Linked DNA regions of Drosophila melanogaster. The protein of the gene in region 2 interacts with the protein of the main gene of each other region in a pairwise test. Each region holds a gene or a part of one and is shown on either strand. Other genes may lie near its edges.

Region 1 (7,303 bases), on a different chromosome or scaffold from region 2:
ATTTTAAAACAAGGAGGAATGTATTTTTTTGAAATGTTTATTTTGATGGTGTAAACATGTCCAGCTCAATTTGCTGTTTTCCTTCGGGTCACAATAACTTTAGTCTTGTGGGCATGTGTTGAATTCGTAGCTGAAGCTGCCAATTGAATGGCCAAGGCGATAACGAGGAACACGTAGAGGAACTTCATCTTAAATGATCCTGGAATTTTATGGTGCTTCTCAAATGAAGGTAGAAACTTTTGTGATTAACCAATGTGGAATCATAATCTTTTATACTTTAATTTTTTAATAGTTTTCTTCTTGTTTGCACCTTGTAAGCACATATGGTTAGTAGTCAGTTTAAAATGATTTCCTTATTAAGATAGGAAGTCTCTTAAGTTGGTATAATATTTATTTATCTATTAAAGTTCCAATTATAGTAAAACAGCTGTTTTACACATTAAAGTAACCTAAAAATGAAGTGAGTAGAAGTGGTAATTCAGATGCATTAAAATGTTTCAAATTCAGTTTAGATAATAAATAATTTAATGGACTTTTAAGAATTGAGTATTGCCTGGAAAAATAGAAACTTCTGTGATGTTGCTTCTATTTAAAACGATTATTTATTATTCTTTTTATTTATTATTCTTTAAATTCATAATAAAATAAGAGAAACAGCTGAAGTCCAATTCCTCGACTATCAGATACCTATTACTCAGAGTTTAGCTTGCACAAGTGTCTAGTGGAAAATGAAGTAGAATGTTTTTATTCCGAAAATATATGTAAAGGCAATTTTTTGCAATTTAAAGGCGATGAAACTATTTCTTTAGAAAATTGGCGACCGATAGACTAAATCGGCTATATATTCTGATAAGGCATATGTGTACAATACAATAGGATCGAAAACTTTTTAAGTGTTACCTACTTTTAAACACACATTGCATACCCATTTACTATGCGTTATGAGTTAAGGGTACAAATACTACTTAAAATAATTTTATAGATAAAATGAAAATATTAGGCAAAATTCTTTTAAAAAGAATTTCTTTATTTCAAAAACTACTAGTGCAGCTTAATTTTTCCTGTGGGTCACAATCACGATGGTCTTGTGGCACCTCTTTGGGTTCTTGCACTTCCGCTTGGGAATGCGGGTGTGGCACCAGTTGTTGCCCCTCCAACAAAGCTTTTTGTGAGTGGAAGCGGCCGTTGTTGTTGTTGTGGTCGATGCTGCAGTGGTGGTTGTTGTTGTGGTGGTGGCATCAGTTGTTGTTGTATTACTAGAAGATGAAGCCACCTGGATGGCCAGGGCAATAAGGGCAACCACGAACAGGTATTTCATCTTTGATGTTATTGTTGGTTATGTTGGTTAGCTGGCAAAGCAATTGATATTAGACTTGGCTTAAAAGCGGCGAAGGGCTGTTGTGATCAACTGATGTTGAAGTCACCCCATTTATAGTTCTCCAGTAATTTCCGGATTTAGAAAACTAGTATTAATTTGATTTCCTAACTGATCACAGAAATTTAAATATTTGGTCGTAAGACACCAGCTTTGAAAGTTTAATGCTGTAGCAAATATTTGCTTCACACAAATGACAGCCCAAACTTATGCTATAGTTTATTTTTGTTTATTATATATTTGTTTGTCATGGTAAATTGTCTAAGTATTATGTAGATATGGCCTCTATTTTGTTGTGCATTTCAGTACGAAACTGCGTGACGGATGCCATTTCATTTTGGTCCTTGAACTTAGTCATTAGACTCTGCCAAATAGCTTCGAATTTATCAGTTGTTACGAGACTTCTAAAGATACGTTCGATTTCCGCTTTGGGCCGCAAACAGGTGAAATCACTGTGAGTAAGGCCACGTAAAATGGCCAAATCCGGTGTTATAAGATCCTTGGCAGTTGTTTTATTCCCTTCGAGATTCTGGCTAATTGCTCCCGTATTATCCTTTGACTTGTTTTGAAGATCGGCGCAGAGCAAACGATATGTGGTGTCCAGACAACTAACATCGGATACATTGGTCAAGTTTCCCGTTTTCGGCAGAGAATTCTGAATCGAGAGAAGTCGAAAGAAATCTACATAATTCACCCGCTCCGTGGCACAGCCCTCGTCCACAATCAGCCGAAAATTGGACAAGGCCAGACGGATTTTTTGCGCATCCAGACGGATGTGAAAACTTCTGAAAATTTCCAAGATGCGTGCCAGTGGCAAGTGACCCGTTCCATCCGTGTCACTCCTCTCCAGCACTGAATTTAGTGCGTACTTGTGAAATTCCAGCTGGTTCCTCAAACTATGACGTTTTTTGTTCAAATAGCGTATGGCATCTAGTAGCCGGTTGGTTTTGTAGCAGGGTTCAATATTATTTAGCAGCATCTTCACATCGCCATTGCTGCGCAGAGGAACACCGAAAGTTATGTCGGGCACCGCAAAAGTGTACCTACAGACAGTCTAAAACTATTAATCAAAATCTATATCTATCTATACTTACTTTTTGTTTCGCATTCCGAGGGGTGCCTCGTTTCGATCCATAAAGTCCACTTGCGCCTTGCCAATAACCTTCAGGTGGTTCTCACCTTCCTCCAGACATCGCTTCACTTTCAGTCCAAAATCGCCGTGAGTATGTATATCTCCACAAGGTGATTTTCGATCAAATGGTTGGGCATATCTAAAAAATATTTAAGACGTTCATTAAATATGCACCATTGCATTTGTAGTGACCAATAGCTTGACCTGCGGTTAACCTGCTCCGAAGGAAAGTAGTGATTGTGGCTGATGATGTACTTGTCGTGGAAAGCCTCGTACTCCTTATTAACTTGCTCCGCCGACTTGGCCGGCAATATGACGTCGTAGAGACATTCATTTTGTGATTGACTCGATGGACTTCCGAAGGTTTGGCTTATATTGGTCACGTCTTCCGGTTTGGAGTACGTTTTCTTGACCCCACCCAAAGTGGCCTTTTTGAAGTACATTTCCTCGTAGAACTTCTCCTTGAAGGACATAAAGCGCGACTTTTGCAACTCGCTGGTGAGCAAATCCCGGATGCTGCTGCTGGGTTGAACGGAACCGGCTGGGAACTTCTGGGATTTTTTATTGATCTGCCCGTAATTGCGCCTAACTAGACTCTCAGCCAATTCTTCTGGATTGCTAATACTAAGACAAACTTTTACACCTTCCGCTCCATCTAATCCACTGGTGGACAATCCTGCAGTCGGTATATTTGCATTTCTGTCTATAAAGTGTCCCTTATTGGCCATGTTTATGAGTGTATTTATGTATATAGTGTGGGTTCAAGTGTTTTCAGAGTGCTTATACATATTACTGAGTGATAAAGCAGAACATCTTAAATAAATAAATAATTGTATTTATTGGTCTTGTAAATGAGTATGTTTACATGTCAAATAATTTATGGCTTAGTATTAGTTCAACTTTAGCTAGTCGTCTAGTCTATTGTACATGGTACTAGTACATCATTGCACGTCTCTCTCTGGCCGCGGAGATGGCATCTGTTTTTTCAGTACAGGTGGTGGTTCTTGTGCAGGACAAAGTCCCAGGTATCCTTCCATCGAAGACTGCGAACCTCATTTAAAGTCATTTTTCTCGCACCATAACTGAATGGTATAAACTTTGAGAAAATGCTAAGCACGCCCACCAGCCACAGGATTAGCATGAGGCGATAAAGGCGCACCAGATGGACACCACGTCCGGTGCAGAAGCGCCTGAGCAGATAGTCCAAATGCTCCACGACAAAGCACAATAAAAGTAACTTAAACACAAAGGCTGGCAAGTAATTGTGCAGGAAGAGTGTACGATCCACACAAAAATACGGAATATAGTGCATCACGTAGCCCATAAAAAAGGTGTCACCAGCTAATACGAATCGCTGCCACTCTTGCTCCGAAATATCAAAGCAAAGACGTTGCCGCCGCATCGCGTAGAAGGCGAGTAATCCGGCATAGACAAGTATTCCCATGGTGGCTGTGTACCAGAGTAGTATGTTTCCCAGCAAATAGATCTGCGCACTCGACTGTGAGTCCAACCAATAAGCGATGCCCTTGTCCATTAGCGGCCACTCGTGCGGCATCGAGCTGTACATGTGATTTGGCACTGACTTCGTTTGGAACAGCATCTTGGATTGTAGCTCCAGTAGCTTGGCCCAGAACGAGATGCGCGTCCGCTTTGTGGGTATCATCTCGGCAGTTAGCATCTGGCGCTCTCGCTCCCGATGATCCTCAGCTATAAAGGGTTGTAAATGAGGATAACGTATTTCTTCAAGTATCTCGAAGAGGACTTACTCTGTGTATAGCGGTGCTCCTCAACATTCCAAATGGCATCCTCATGTATTGCCTTTTCACGATCCGCCACCACCTCGTGCTGATTGAAACCCCATTCGGGAAGTTGGCGCCCACTGAACTTCAAGGAGGCTTCTGTGGACACGTGAACGAGGCGGACCTCCGACTTGATGGCATGCCAAATGTCACCTTCGGAATCGCGATTCAGAATCTCCACGCGCCACAACAGTTCACCGGCCATTTTGATCTCGTAATCTATGTAGCAGCTGACTTCTTGGCACTGCGGCGTCATTGCCGCAGCCACATCGTGTGAGTTCAGAGCTCGGCTCGTAATTCCATGGACCAACTGAATAATTTCACCGTGCCGAATGATATCCGGCTCATCACCCACCACCAGGTTCTCCTTTGTTGGTCGCTTAACCAGCCACCAGTTGTTCACATCCTTGAAGGAGTAGCAGGTGACCTGCTGCTGGTGGGAGGAGCCTCTCTTGTCCGGATACCGCACCGGATAGACAGCTGCATGCGAGTGCAGCCAACAGGTGCGTCCGTGGGTGTGTCGTAGTGTGATTTGGGATCCATGAACCACTGCCAATGGCTGTCCTTTTGTGATCGATGCCAATCCTCCATCTAACGAGGCCTGAAACGCGCTAGTCATGATGCTATCATGCGGTCCAGCCCGGTGCAGCGTCTTGAAGTGGATATAGAAGACTCCCAAGTAGACCGCCAATGGAATTCCAACAAAGATTAACAGGCGACTTATGGCATGCATCCATAGCTGGCGATCTTGAAAAAAATGGTTTTATTTTGATTTATTCAATCTCTATTATTATATCGTAAATCGTATTTGTAAATCTCAGAAAAAAAGGTATCTTACCGGTGAGACCGGCGTCGTAGAGCAGTTGCCACAGGTGTCGACACAGCAAATAAAAGGCTAGCCCCAGTGCCAAGAATCCGACGTACTTGACGGTTCCGGCGGCTCCCAAACAGACGGCAGCTGCCGTTCCAGTAAAGAACCATTCCAGGCTGCCCAGGCGACTTCGTTGGAAGCGTAGCAAACAGGCGATGCCCACCGTGGTGGCCAGCAGAAGCATTGATTCCATCAGAACAAAACGGGATTGCGTCAGCAATGAGTTGTCCAGGACCACAAGCAGGCCACCCAAAGCGGATGACCAGCGACTGAGCTTCGCCTCCAGCAAAAGATTGTAAACGGCGGGGGCCAGTAGACTGCCGCACATGGCTGGTAGAAATCGGAACCAGAAGATGGGCATTTCCGGGGAATAGGGCTCTCCAATGCGGGTAAAGGTGTAATTGCCATCGTAACCAGCCAGGCTGACCAGTCCGGCGATCAGCTGTTTGCCCAGCGGTGGATGTTGATCGAAGAAGAAAATGTTTCGCATGTACATGGAAATGTACTTGCCGTAGTGGAGTTCATCGAATCTGTTGGGTAGGAAGTATTTTACTATGAATCTTGAAAATATTATAAAGACATAGGCATAAATCATTTGAGCTATAAATGCAAGACTTAAATGTAATGCAATGAACTTAAATGTAAGACTCTGCTCTCGCAGATTAAATTAATAAACAAAAAATCTAAGACATTGTTATGTGTGTATTTTTTTCATTCAGCGGTGACCCCATTTGCAGGTTTGTTATTGTTTTTCTACTCACACGATGTGCGGCGGCGTTGCCAGCTTGTAAAAACGCGTGCCGAAGGCCAAGAGAAAGAGTGTCCAACTGAAGAGATCGATTCTCAGGTTAACGGTAAATGGCTGCGAACTCGCATTAGCGGTTTTTCTCTCTTCTGCGGATGCTGCGCCAGCGCTGTTCTTGTCGATTTGTTTTTGGCAGGAGAGCGAGCGAGACCGAGACGGCGAAGGCGAGCGTGAGAGGGAGCGCGAACGATCGGAGGTAGGCGAGGGGGAGGCTTGTTTTGGCGTCGCTACCGGCGTTGGCGTCGCAGTCGGGGTCGGCGTTGGCGTCGTGTGCCGGTTAACGCTGCCGCGGAGCGGCGCATTCAAATGACAGTTGACGTCGACGCAGCAATTGAGCATTGTTAAAGCACGAGCGCCGTTACAGCACAGTGGTGAAGGTGAGTTGCTGATTGCTGTGTGTTGTTGCATCGAGTTTGTTGAACGGCTGCGAAAGTGAAGTCTTTCGTTTGACTCGCCGCTCAAATCGCTGCCTGTCCATTGGTGTTGTTGTTGCTGCCTCACTTTGGCCGTCTTGCGGCGCTGTGTAATTGTATTGGTGTAGGTGGCAGACATAACGGCTTCGTAGTTTTTGTTATTTTTTTAAGGTGCGATTTGCTTTGCGGAATTTAGCGGGCATTTCTTCCTCGCATTGTTTTTCTTACCCACTTTCACTGATCAATTAGCATTCGTTAAACATGAGATAATCAAACCAGCGATTAGTTGTTTCACTTTTTGTTATGTAAATTTTTTATTTTGCCACGTTTTCCTGCTAACAAAAAAACTGGTTTTGCACTTTCTACACTCCACTTGTCTCGCTGGCTCTTCGCCTTGCAGCCTTCTTGGTCGATTTGCATTTACATACAAACGATGGCCAGCTGTTGAAGAAAGTTTCGATGCCGAATTATTCCCACAAACACACTCTCACGGAAGTAAAATAACTATCTTTTCCCGGCCGACCACTTCTCGGCTAAAATCGCAACCTGCACGGTAAAGATCTCGCGACGCACTGACTTGACTGAATCTGAATGGACTTGGACTGAAAAGATCCGCGATGGCTCTCTTTCTTCTGCGCATGCGCTGCCGCTGCCCTCCGTGCACAGTGGGTTGACTTCGCAAAACTCACTGCAAATTAGAAAGTAAAGTGACTTGATGAAGTTAAATTTATTTATGATATATGCTTGAGCAAATGCTCGCATATTACGGAAACAAGTAAATTGAGCTACGTATTATAGTATTATTCGTTTATTACAAAATAAAAGGGAAATTAAAAATAGGGTTTATTTTCAGAAGCAGAGCATGTTTGCAAACCATTTTTGCAGCGCATTTTTAAAAATTGGCCCAC
Region 2 (8,366 bases):
ATCTGTAGTCCAGCGGAAATAACTTAATCATGGAGGGGAGCGAGTTGACGCGGTTTGGCATTCCGGAGGACTCATCTTTCCCCCGTGGTATTTGTGTGTGATATTTTTAAGTTGTACTTCAGCGGAATACAGAAAACACGCCCCGAACGTAATGCATAATGATAATGTATTCTAAAATTATTAATAATAAATATTAAATAAAGTAATCGTAACACGCAAAGCCCACCTCGGTTCCTTGACCATCACAATGTTGACAAGACGTAATATGAGATGATGTCATTTCCGTTTCACCCCAGCGAACAGCCAATCCGTCGTCTAAACATCTTCTAATCTGTGCCCTGTATTTCTCGGATTGGAATTAAGTCATCAGACCGATTTAGAAAATCGGATCTTGATTGTCGGCACACACAAACGCAGCTACTTTACCGGCATTTACAAAATTCTTCGAGGAGACATATTTCGATGCAATAGTTCAGTACAGAAAAGGGAATTTTGAGTTTGTTTTCTCATTTAATTGTTGAAAGCAGTAAAGTTGTCTAACAAGATTTCTTTGGGGCTTTGCGCCGTTTAACAGTAATTATAGTTTGAACAAAGCATTTGATCGCAAGTAGACATTGAGATTTAAAATTGGTAACCCTATATACATACATATATTTCGGTGGGTCAAGTCTGAAACTAGCTCATTTCCAAATAAACAATAAACTGACTTTAGGCATGAGGAATCCGTTTTATGTTTTAGCAGTATTTTATCTCCTTAAAAGCTGAACTGAAAATTCTCATATATTGCAATTCACAAAGGACACTGTTTAGAACAGTGACTACGTTTGCAGATAAATGAATTATCAAAAACTTTACAAGTTTATTCATTTGAATATTTTAGATATGTGACATAGAATTGTCTTCTACGAATCTAAGAAACCTCCTATGATTGCCTAGTAGACCTTTTATGTTTCTTTGGAAATGTGACCATTAAGTTTCCGGAATAGGAACTTAGTTATATCCCTCAAATTGACCCATCCAAGTAATACATTAATCGAATTAATACATTAAAACTGCTGGAGCCGCAGCTCAACTTGTAGAGCAATACAGGCCCGTCGTTCCTCCTTTAGTTCCATGCCCAGCATATTCTTCTTGTGCTCCAGCAGCGCATTCTCCCGTGTATAGTGCTCGATTATCCGCTCATAGTCGGATTCTGGGGGAGCCTGAGATCCCGAGGCCAAGGAGGCCATTTGACTGTTTATTGACTGCTGCTCGTACAGCTGCTTGAGCCTATAGACTTCGTTGCGCTCGGCGACGATACGTGCTTTTAGTTCGTTCTGCCATTCCATTAGCTCGTCATATTCAATTTGGAGCCGCAGCAAATTTTCGCGGTGCGGATTTGATTTGGGGAGCAAAATAAAGCCAGTGCTGGGATCAATAGTAAAATCGTTAGGAGCATCTTTCGGAGTTAGTGTATCGGTTTTTGGCTCTTCCTGGGAAATACTGTTGTTCGTAGATACGGCTGGAGTTCCAGCTGGTTTGGAGTCAGTGGTATCTTCACTGGCTACAGCGGGCGGAGCACTGCTGCTGTTGTCTACTTCCTCCGCAGTCTTTTCCTGTTTCTTCTCAAAAGTTCGTAGTTTCCGCTTCAGCTGGGTAATGATGCGCTGCACTTCCCACAGCTGTTCCTCGCGTTTCTTGGTAATGAACCCGGCGTTCATCTCGCTGTGGATCTGGGACAGGAGGCTGTCCTGCTTGCGCAACTCCGTCTGGATGTCCTCCGGCGTATCCGGAAGCTTTGGGCTGGTCGATGTTAAAGGGGGCACATACCTAAGAGATGACAATTTAGTATTATGATAACTTTGTTTAAATGTGTGCCATTCTGCCTGATTAGAAAACTGGCGAAACGTGGAAAGCGCTTCTGTTTACGGGGTAATGTGCTCATCGTCGGTTGCAAAATAAACGACTAAATCTGGCGATTTTTATAGCAGCAATCTTATCAACTGCCAACAGTGGTGGGAATTATCTGGGTTCTTATAAGTACCTATTATACATATAAAAAAACAATTTATATCATTAGATAAATATGGAAACTAACAGTTTACTAAAACTAACAGTTTAGTAGTTAACTTCAGAGCTATGACTTCGATTCGTTCTTGTGATTTAACTATAGTTGTTAAATGTGGACTTCTCTTTTACCAACACAAAGGTACTTGGATATTTCCCACCACTGTTATCCGGCTAGCCGGTGTTTGCTCACTTTATCAGCTGGACGTCCGCGAACAAGTTGTTGCAGTGGCAGAGTAGGGCCACCATTAGTCGGTGAGACATCTGGAGCGTCGGACTGAGCAGCATAGCCAGCGACTGAGCGTTGAGCTTATTGTGTCTTTCCTGCTGGATCACCGCGTCGAAGTGGAGCAGCACCCACGCCAAGAGGGTGCGATTGCACTTGGGCAATTGTTCAAGCAGCTGCTGCAGCTCTGCCTGCTGCGTGGTTACCTTCGGATGAGAGGCTACCTCCTCAAAGCGGGCCACCAGATCGGTGGTCAGCAGTGGCTCCGGCAGTTCGCGCAGGAAGAGCTTCAGCAGACTGCAGGCGGTAGGCAGGTTGAGCTCATCAACGGCGGAGTCGTGCTCCCGGTTGTTGTACAACCGCTTGAAGTGCATCAGACGCGTCTTGATGGGCTCAATCTTGTAGATCTGCTCACACTTCAGGTGATCCTGCAGGAAGTCGATGCAGTCGCGCACAACCAGGGGAATGTCCACGCCGTCGTGGCAGCGGGATCGTTCGGTCGCCAAGCTAACGGACACCCCAAAGACGGGATACCCAAGTGCCAGCACTTCCTCCGCGGCGGAGACGTCGTCCTGCTGCTGCGACAGCTGCTTGCTCTTCTTATCCTTTTTGTCCTTCTTGTCAGCCTTCTTGTCCTTTTCCTTGCGCTTCTCCTCCTTGTCCTTCTTCTTGGGCTCATCACGGTCCTTCTCCTTATCCCGCTCTTTCTCCTTGACCTTGTGGGAGACGGAAGGCTCCTCCTCTGCGTGCTTCGAGTCTTTTTCAGACTTGTCCCGCGACTTTTCCCGCTTCTCCTTGCTCTTGGAGCTGGTGAACTTAAAGGTCTTTGACTTTTTCGACTTGGATGGACTTCTGGAAGTAAAAGAAAAAATATTACTTGTCTCTGGGTCAGCTGACCTGCACCCACTTGGTGTCCAGCTCCTCCTCCGGCGAGCTCTCGCCCTCCAGAGCGGCGTATCCTCGATCCTTGCCCTTTTCCTTCTTGTCCTTGCGCCGGCCAATCAACAAGTCCTTCTTGCTATGGTCGTGATCCTCACTAACTGTAAAGGCAAGGTGAGCCCATTGATTTTTTCCCAGCTTACGCCCACATCTTTGCGCTCCACTCACAGTCGCTCTCCTCCTTGCTCTTCCTCGACTTAGCGTCCGCCGCCTCGGAGGCGTACAGCCCGGGAAACTCCTTCTCCTCGGGACTGTCAAAATCCATCACGAATAATCACTTCACCAGCAGTAAATAAATATAAACAATTGCCGTAAACAACATATGCAACAAATAATCGATTGCTTAATCGAAGTCGCCGCTGCTATCCAACACTGATAAGTGCACAGATGGCGCTACTGTGTCATGTAAAAAATATGTAGTAACGGTGTAGATATTTAAAAAAAGGCAAATTGAAACAAGAGAAAACGCTACAGTCGAGTTCCTCAACTATCAGAAATGCGATCAGCTACTAACTCTTAAATTTTTATAATATTAATATATATATATATATATATATATAATAAATAAATAAATAAATATGTGTTAATATATAATATAATAATAATAATATTTTAAATAATTTAAATTCTAAGAAAATATTTTTTATATATATACATAAACTACATAATACATAAAACTTCCAAAATGACAAGAGTACCACCTCTGTAACTACAGGATTTTGTTAATTGTGCGCGCTAGTGTGGGCGTGGTGAAAATGTTTTTTCACAAGTATACAAATTGCCAAGACTATTTATAAAATAAAACTAAATCAAACCATTTTTTCAGGGTGGGGCTGTAAAACTATAAGGCGGTTTGTTAACTTCTAAACTCCCAGAAACCGAAACCAGAATACAGCGATGAAAAAAAACTATTCGTTTATTAGTTTAAGTAATATTCATATATATATATGTATATATATAAAAATTAATAAGTTTGCGATACAATGTTCTTAATTGGTACGGAAACGCTTCCTTATACCTTTTGCATTCTTTTTACTTTACGAGTAGGCGGTTGTGTAGCAAATAAGTTAATCAGTATAATTATTTCACGACCAATCAATCCCGCGGTGCATCGCTTATCACTCAGCTTGAGTAGGGGTAAACAGTAGAGAGGAGGAGGATTAGGTCGCCTCCATTACCGGCAAGCCAAACAAATGCTAATAGTGCGAGCTGATGCGGCTGATGCAATTCCGCAGGGTGGATTGCGGCATCTCCAAAATGCTACACAGATTAGCTTACGGCCACTATAAACTGGCCATCAGCAGCTGGGAGCCGTTGAGAGCCAAGGATAGTGGCGTGGCCATCGTTGTCGTGGTGGTCGCGTTTCTGCTAATTGCTCTATTTGGGAGACAGACACTGTCGGAATAGGCCATAACCAGTCCAGCAATCAGGGTCAGCAGGAAAGTCAGGCCCAGGAGCCCGCAGCTGAGGCGCCGTACGGCCTGCCACCAGGGATCCAGAGCGAAGGGCAGGAGCTCCTCGAGCGTCAGTCCGTAGGAATAGCTACGAAAGAAGCGGGCAGGCGGCACTGTGTAACGAAGTTATTTTTTAATGAAATACGACGGAAAGCGTTTACTCAGCAGTTGTGAAAATGGGCTCATAATCCTTTGGATCCTTCCCCGTCGCGGGCACGACAATGATGTGCTGCTGCTGCCGCTGCTGCCGCTGCTGATGTCCTTGTTGCGTTGCCAGAAGCGCTGTCTTCTCGTTGCAGGACATATTTGCCGTGTGGTACCCTGGATGTGTGCCGAACAAGAGGGTATACGCAGTTTATGTAACTTTATCTGTAACAAGAAGTGAAAATAATAATAATAATGAATAATGATTTATTCAAATGACTGATAATTTATATATGATAACTGTGACATGTATCTTTCGTTTTTTTTTTGTCAATACCACCAAAGTTGCCGTAGCCCCTTGCAGGCACGACAGATAACTATAGATGGGAACTGGGTATTTTACAGTCCTTTTTCAGCCCTTCTCACGGGATAGTACCAGGATTGCAAACACTCCCGGCTGGAAATTGCTCCATTCGCAACTGGCGGACTACTGGCGACTGGCTTCGTTCTGTCGCAACTTTAATTAGCTTGCAGCTGGGTTGTCTCTCTGTCCCATTGCTTTATTGCCATTGCTGTTTGTCTTTGTGCTCGGTCCGGATTCCTGTAAACAACTTTATCTCCATGGGCCGTGGCGATCCGCTCATCTTCCGCAACCGGCGGTTGGTCTTATCTGGCGCTTTTTTGGGGCATTACATAACCGCAGCAGAGAAGTCGCCTCCCCCAGTTTCCCATAGCGATAAGGATAAGCCCAAGATTTCAGGGAAGTGAAAAGTTCACAGCCAGATCGATCGGTTTAATGTGTTAGTTTATTGGGATTCGGTTGGTAAACATGCACGGAATACATATATTCGTATGCCAGTAACTCTAGGGTCTAGGCTCTATTCGATTCGATAAGGTAATACGATAAGCCATATACTCCTTCGATTCTCAGAAGATCCTAGCTTTCGTTACGACAACGGGTATTTTCTTATAGTGAGTACGAGTATATATATTCAAATATGTAGCTTTCGATTTGGTATTTTCTTATAGCGTGTTAAAGTGAGAAGAGATACGGTTAGTGAGATCGGTGGATCGTCACCCCAAGCATATGCTATATAAAACTACATATGTATGTGGTATTCGATCTATTCGACTATTTGCATACTTTATCGGTTTAGTAAATACGAGTATATTTTTGTAGTTGCTTTTGTTTTTGGGTAAAATCACATTCATAAGTATACATTTAAAAATGCAGGTATAATTTGAATTCGAAAAAACATGATAACAAACAGCAAATGATTAATATTGTACAATACACATACATATTAACTGCTTGGCCTGCCCTCAAAACATATAGATATACATAGATTCGAATACTATCTATGGTATCTACTATGGTACACATATGTTATTGATTTTGAAACTCGTCAAATGAATAGGGAATTATATAAACAACGCAATGTTAATCATACAAAATTAGACATATATGTAAATTCGAACCCTATCATTTAGTTGTGCAACTGATTTTAAAATAGTTTAAATCAATACATAATGTTAAAGAACGCAATCATAGTAAAGTGGAACCTATAATTTGCTAAAGTAACATGCTCTTTCTCTTCATTCAGATACGCTTTCTACTCCTAGTTCTCTAGAAGTACCTAAACCCTATGTCGGAAGCACTTAAATCGTTTTATTTGCCTTTGCCATTAAAGATAATCGTCTATGGGTAATTTATTTGCATGTCTGCTTATATATCTGGTTATCCTCTGTGTCGTATTGTTACATTCACTGCTCCTCAGCACTTGCCCCTCGATTTCATATACTATTCGCTTTATTCGCAATATATTGATTTCCTTGCCACGGATTTCTTACCCTGACCCTGGTCGATTTTTTGTAACCGTCTGTTAACTGCATTTATATATCGCGATCTATGAAAAACGTAGGAGTATTCAGATATTGTCTGAAGTTCGTTTTAGTAAGGGAAATAAAAAGGCAATTATAGAAATAAATTTAAAAAGAAATTTAATTATAATATCTAGCAGTAAACGTTGACAGTATAACTTAGTACATTATTATTTATTCATGTTTGTATATTTATTAAATTGTTTAATAGTTCGTATATGCAGTAATTAATAATCAATTACGTCTAAATTTGGCGCAGTTTTCTCAACGAGTTCCCCGTACAGTTGTGTGACCCCAAATATATAATACAAATTTATGCATGTGGCTATAAATATCATTAGGCTTCTCTTCTCACCATTAATTTGCTACAATTTTGTTATATGAAAAATAGTACATTATACAAAAAATATGTACCTGCTCGTTACATTTGGTTTACAATCAATTCTAGTAATTCTCCTTATTATTTCGCTATTGTTTTGGTGTTTGCCTTAATATCCAGTTTTGTCTACTTCGATACCAGCGACGTAAGCGAATAGAAAGTCTTTTTTTAAGTAAATTGATTAGTGCTCACTGGTAGTACGTGTAGTTCTTCATAGTGCAGTGTGGACACACTGATGGTCTTTCTGGCTAATCGCTAACAGCTAATCGCTAGTAAGTAGTGCCGCCTTTTGCTTTGGTCAGAGTTAATGAAAGTGTTGCTAGTTGGACTTGTGTCGATAGTGTGAGGTGACTAGAACTAGTTGTCAAGGAGGCCCCTAATCAGTAGTAGTAGTTATAATTGTAGTATTTGTAGTAGATGGCTAGAGGGACTGCGTTTCTTCTTGGCTAAAACCTTTAGATCTTTCCTAAAACTTACACATGTATTAAATTAACAATGGTTTTCGGCAAATGGAGAGACAATATCGAGTTTGGAGTACGGAACACGATTTAAACTCTAAATCGATTCCGATTTTCCCGTTTTGATTTTATGGGGTCGATTAAGTACAGCTTTAACAAACAACAACAATGACTTAAGTTATACACAGAATGATATAATAAATATAATAGTATTCTTTAGAAAGTAAATTAAGTATATATGGCATAACAGTAAATGATCTCGTTACGGTTACAAGATTGCTGAGCCGTGGCAGCCTTTCTGTATTTACAATTCATATATGAATAGAGACAATAATCGTAAAAATGGTTTGTATATAAGCCTGGCTTAAACCTAGTTAAACTTTTAAATTTTACTTTTAGTATTAACATAAATTTTACACAAGAAATATTTATATATCGCGCCGAGCACATATATATATAAATCAATTTCATAAGTTTACATATAAAAACTGCATCTACAGCATCTTTCAATAGCTTCTAAGTATCGGTTAGCTCTGTTTTCCGCCGTAACGATCCTCTTCAATTTGACGGAAAAGTCCAACGCCATTGCGAATAATCAAGCCAAAGCCAAACCAACGCGGCTGCGAACTCCTTAAACCCGGATGACGTCGTAGGCTTCCAGTATGCATATAACCACGTAGAACACCCACAGGAATACCAGGATCGCTGCGCTGATGTACTTCGATACTTTCGGACCGCCCAGCTCGGCGCCAATGCCCTTGTGCCAGCGCCGGAACATGATGAGCATTATGGCAATCAGGGCCTCGCCGCAGAAGAGCGCCACGGCGAATCCAATGCTA

Evidence for each region.
Region 1: the proteins of Rlip (region 2) and CG32086 interact in a two-hybrid assay, tested with the Drosophila melanogaster proteins (one large-scale study listed by BioGRID).

What each region holds. Positions count from the first base shown.
Region 1 is NT_037436.4:11,580,799-11,588,101, forward strand, and holds CG32086 (uncharacterized protein), read right to left. Parts: upstream 3,267-7,303; 5' UTR 3,236-3,266; coding exon 2,712-3,235; intron 2,647-2,711; coding exon 2,470-2,646; intron 2,419-2,469; coding exon 1,644-2,418; 3' UTR 1,603-1,643; downstream 1-1,602. Other genes in the region: CG43391 (uncharacterized protein), read right to left, coding at 66-188; CG33269 (uncharacterized protein), read right to left, coding at 1,052-1,318; rt (rotated abdomen), read right to left, coding at 3,493-4,214, 4,274-5,053, 5,145-5,707, 5,939-6,534.
Region 2 is NT_033777.3:21,012,888-21,021,253, reverse strand, and holds Rlip (Ral interacting protein), read right to left. Parts: upstream 3,571-8,366; 5' UTR 3,477-3,570; coding exon 3,380-3,476; intron 3,313-3,379; coding exon 3,180-3,312; intron 3,125-3,179; coding exon 2,240-3,124; intron 1,810-2,239; coding exon 1,047-1,809; 3' UTR 501-1,046; downstream 1-500. Other genes in the region: CG5697 (uncharacterized protein), read right to left, coding at 4,495-4,753, 4,827-4,969; Calx (Na/Ca-exchange protein), read right to left, coding at 8,159-8,363. UniProt on the Drosophila melanogaster protein: Participates in receptor endocytosis during interphase, is also involved in mitotic processes when endocytosis is switched off.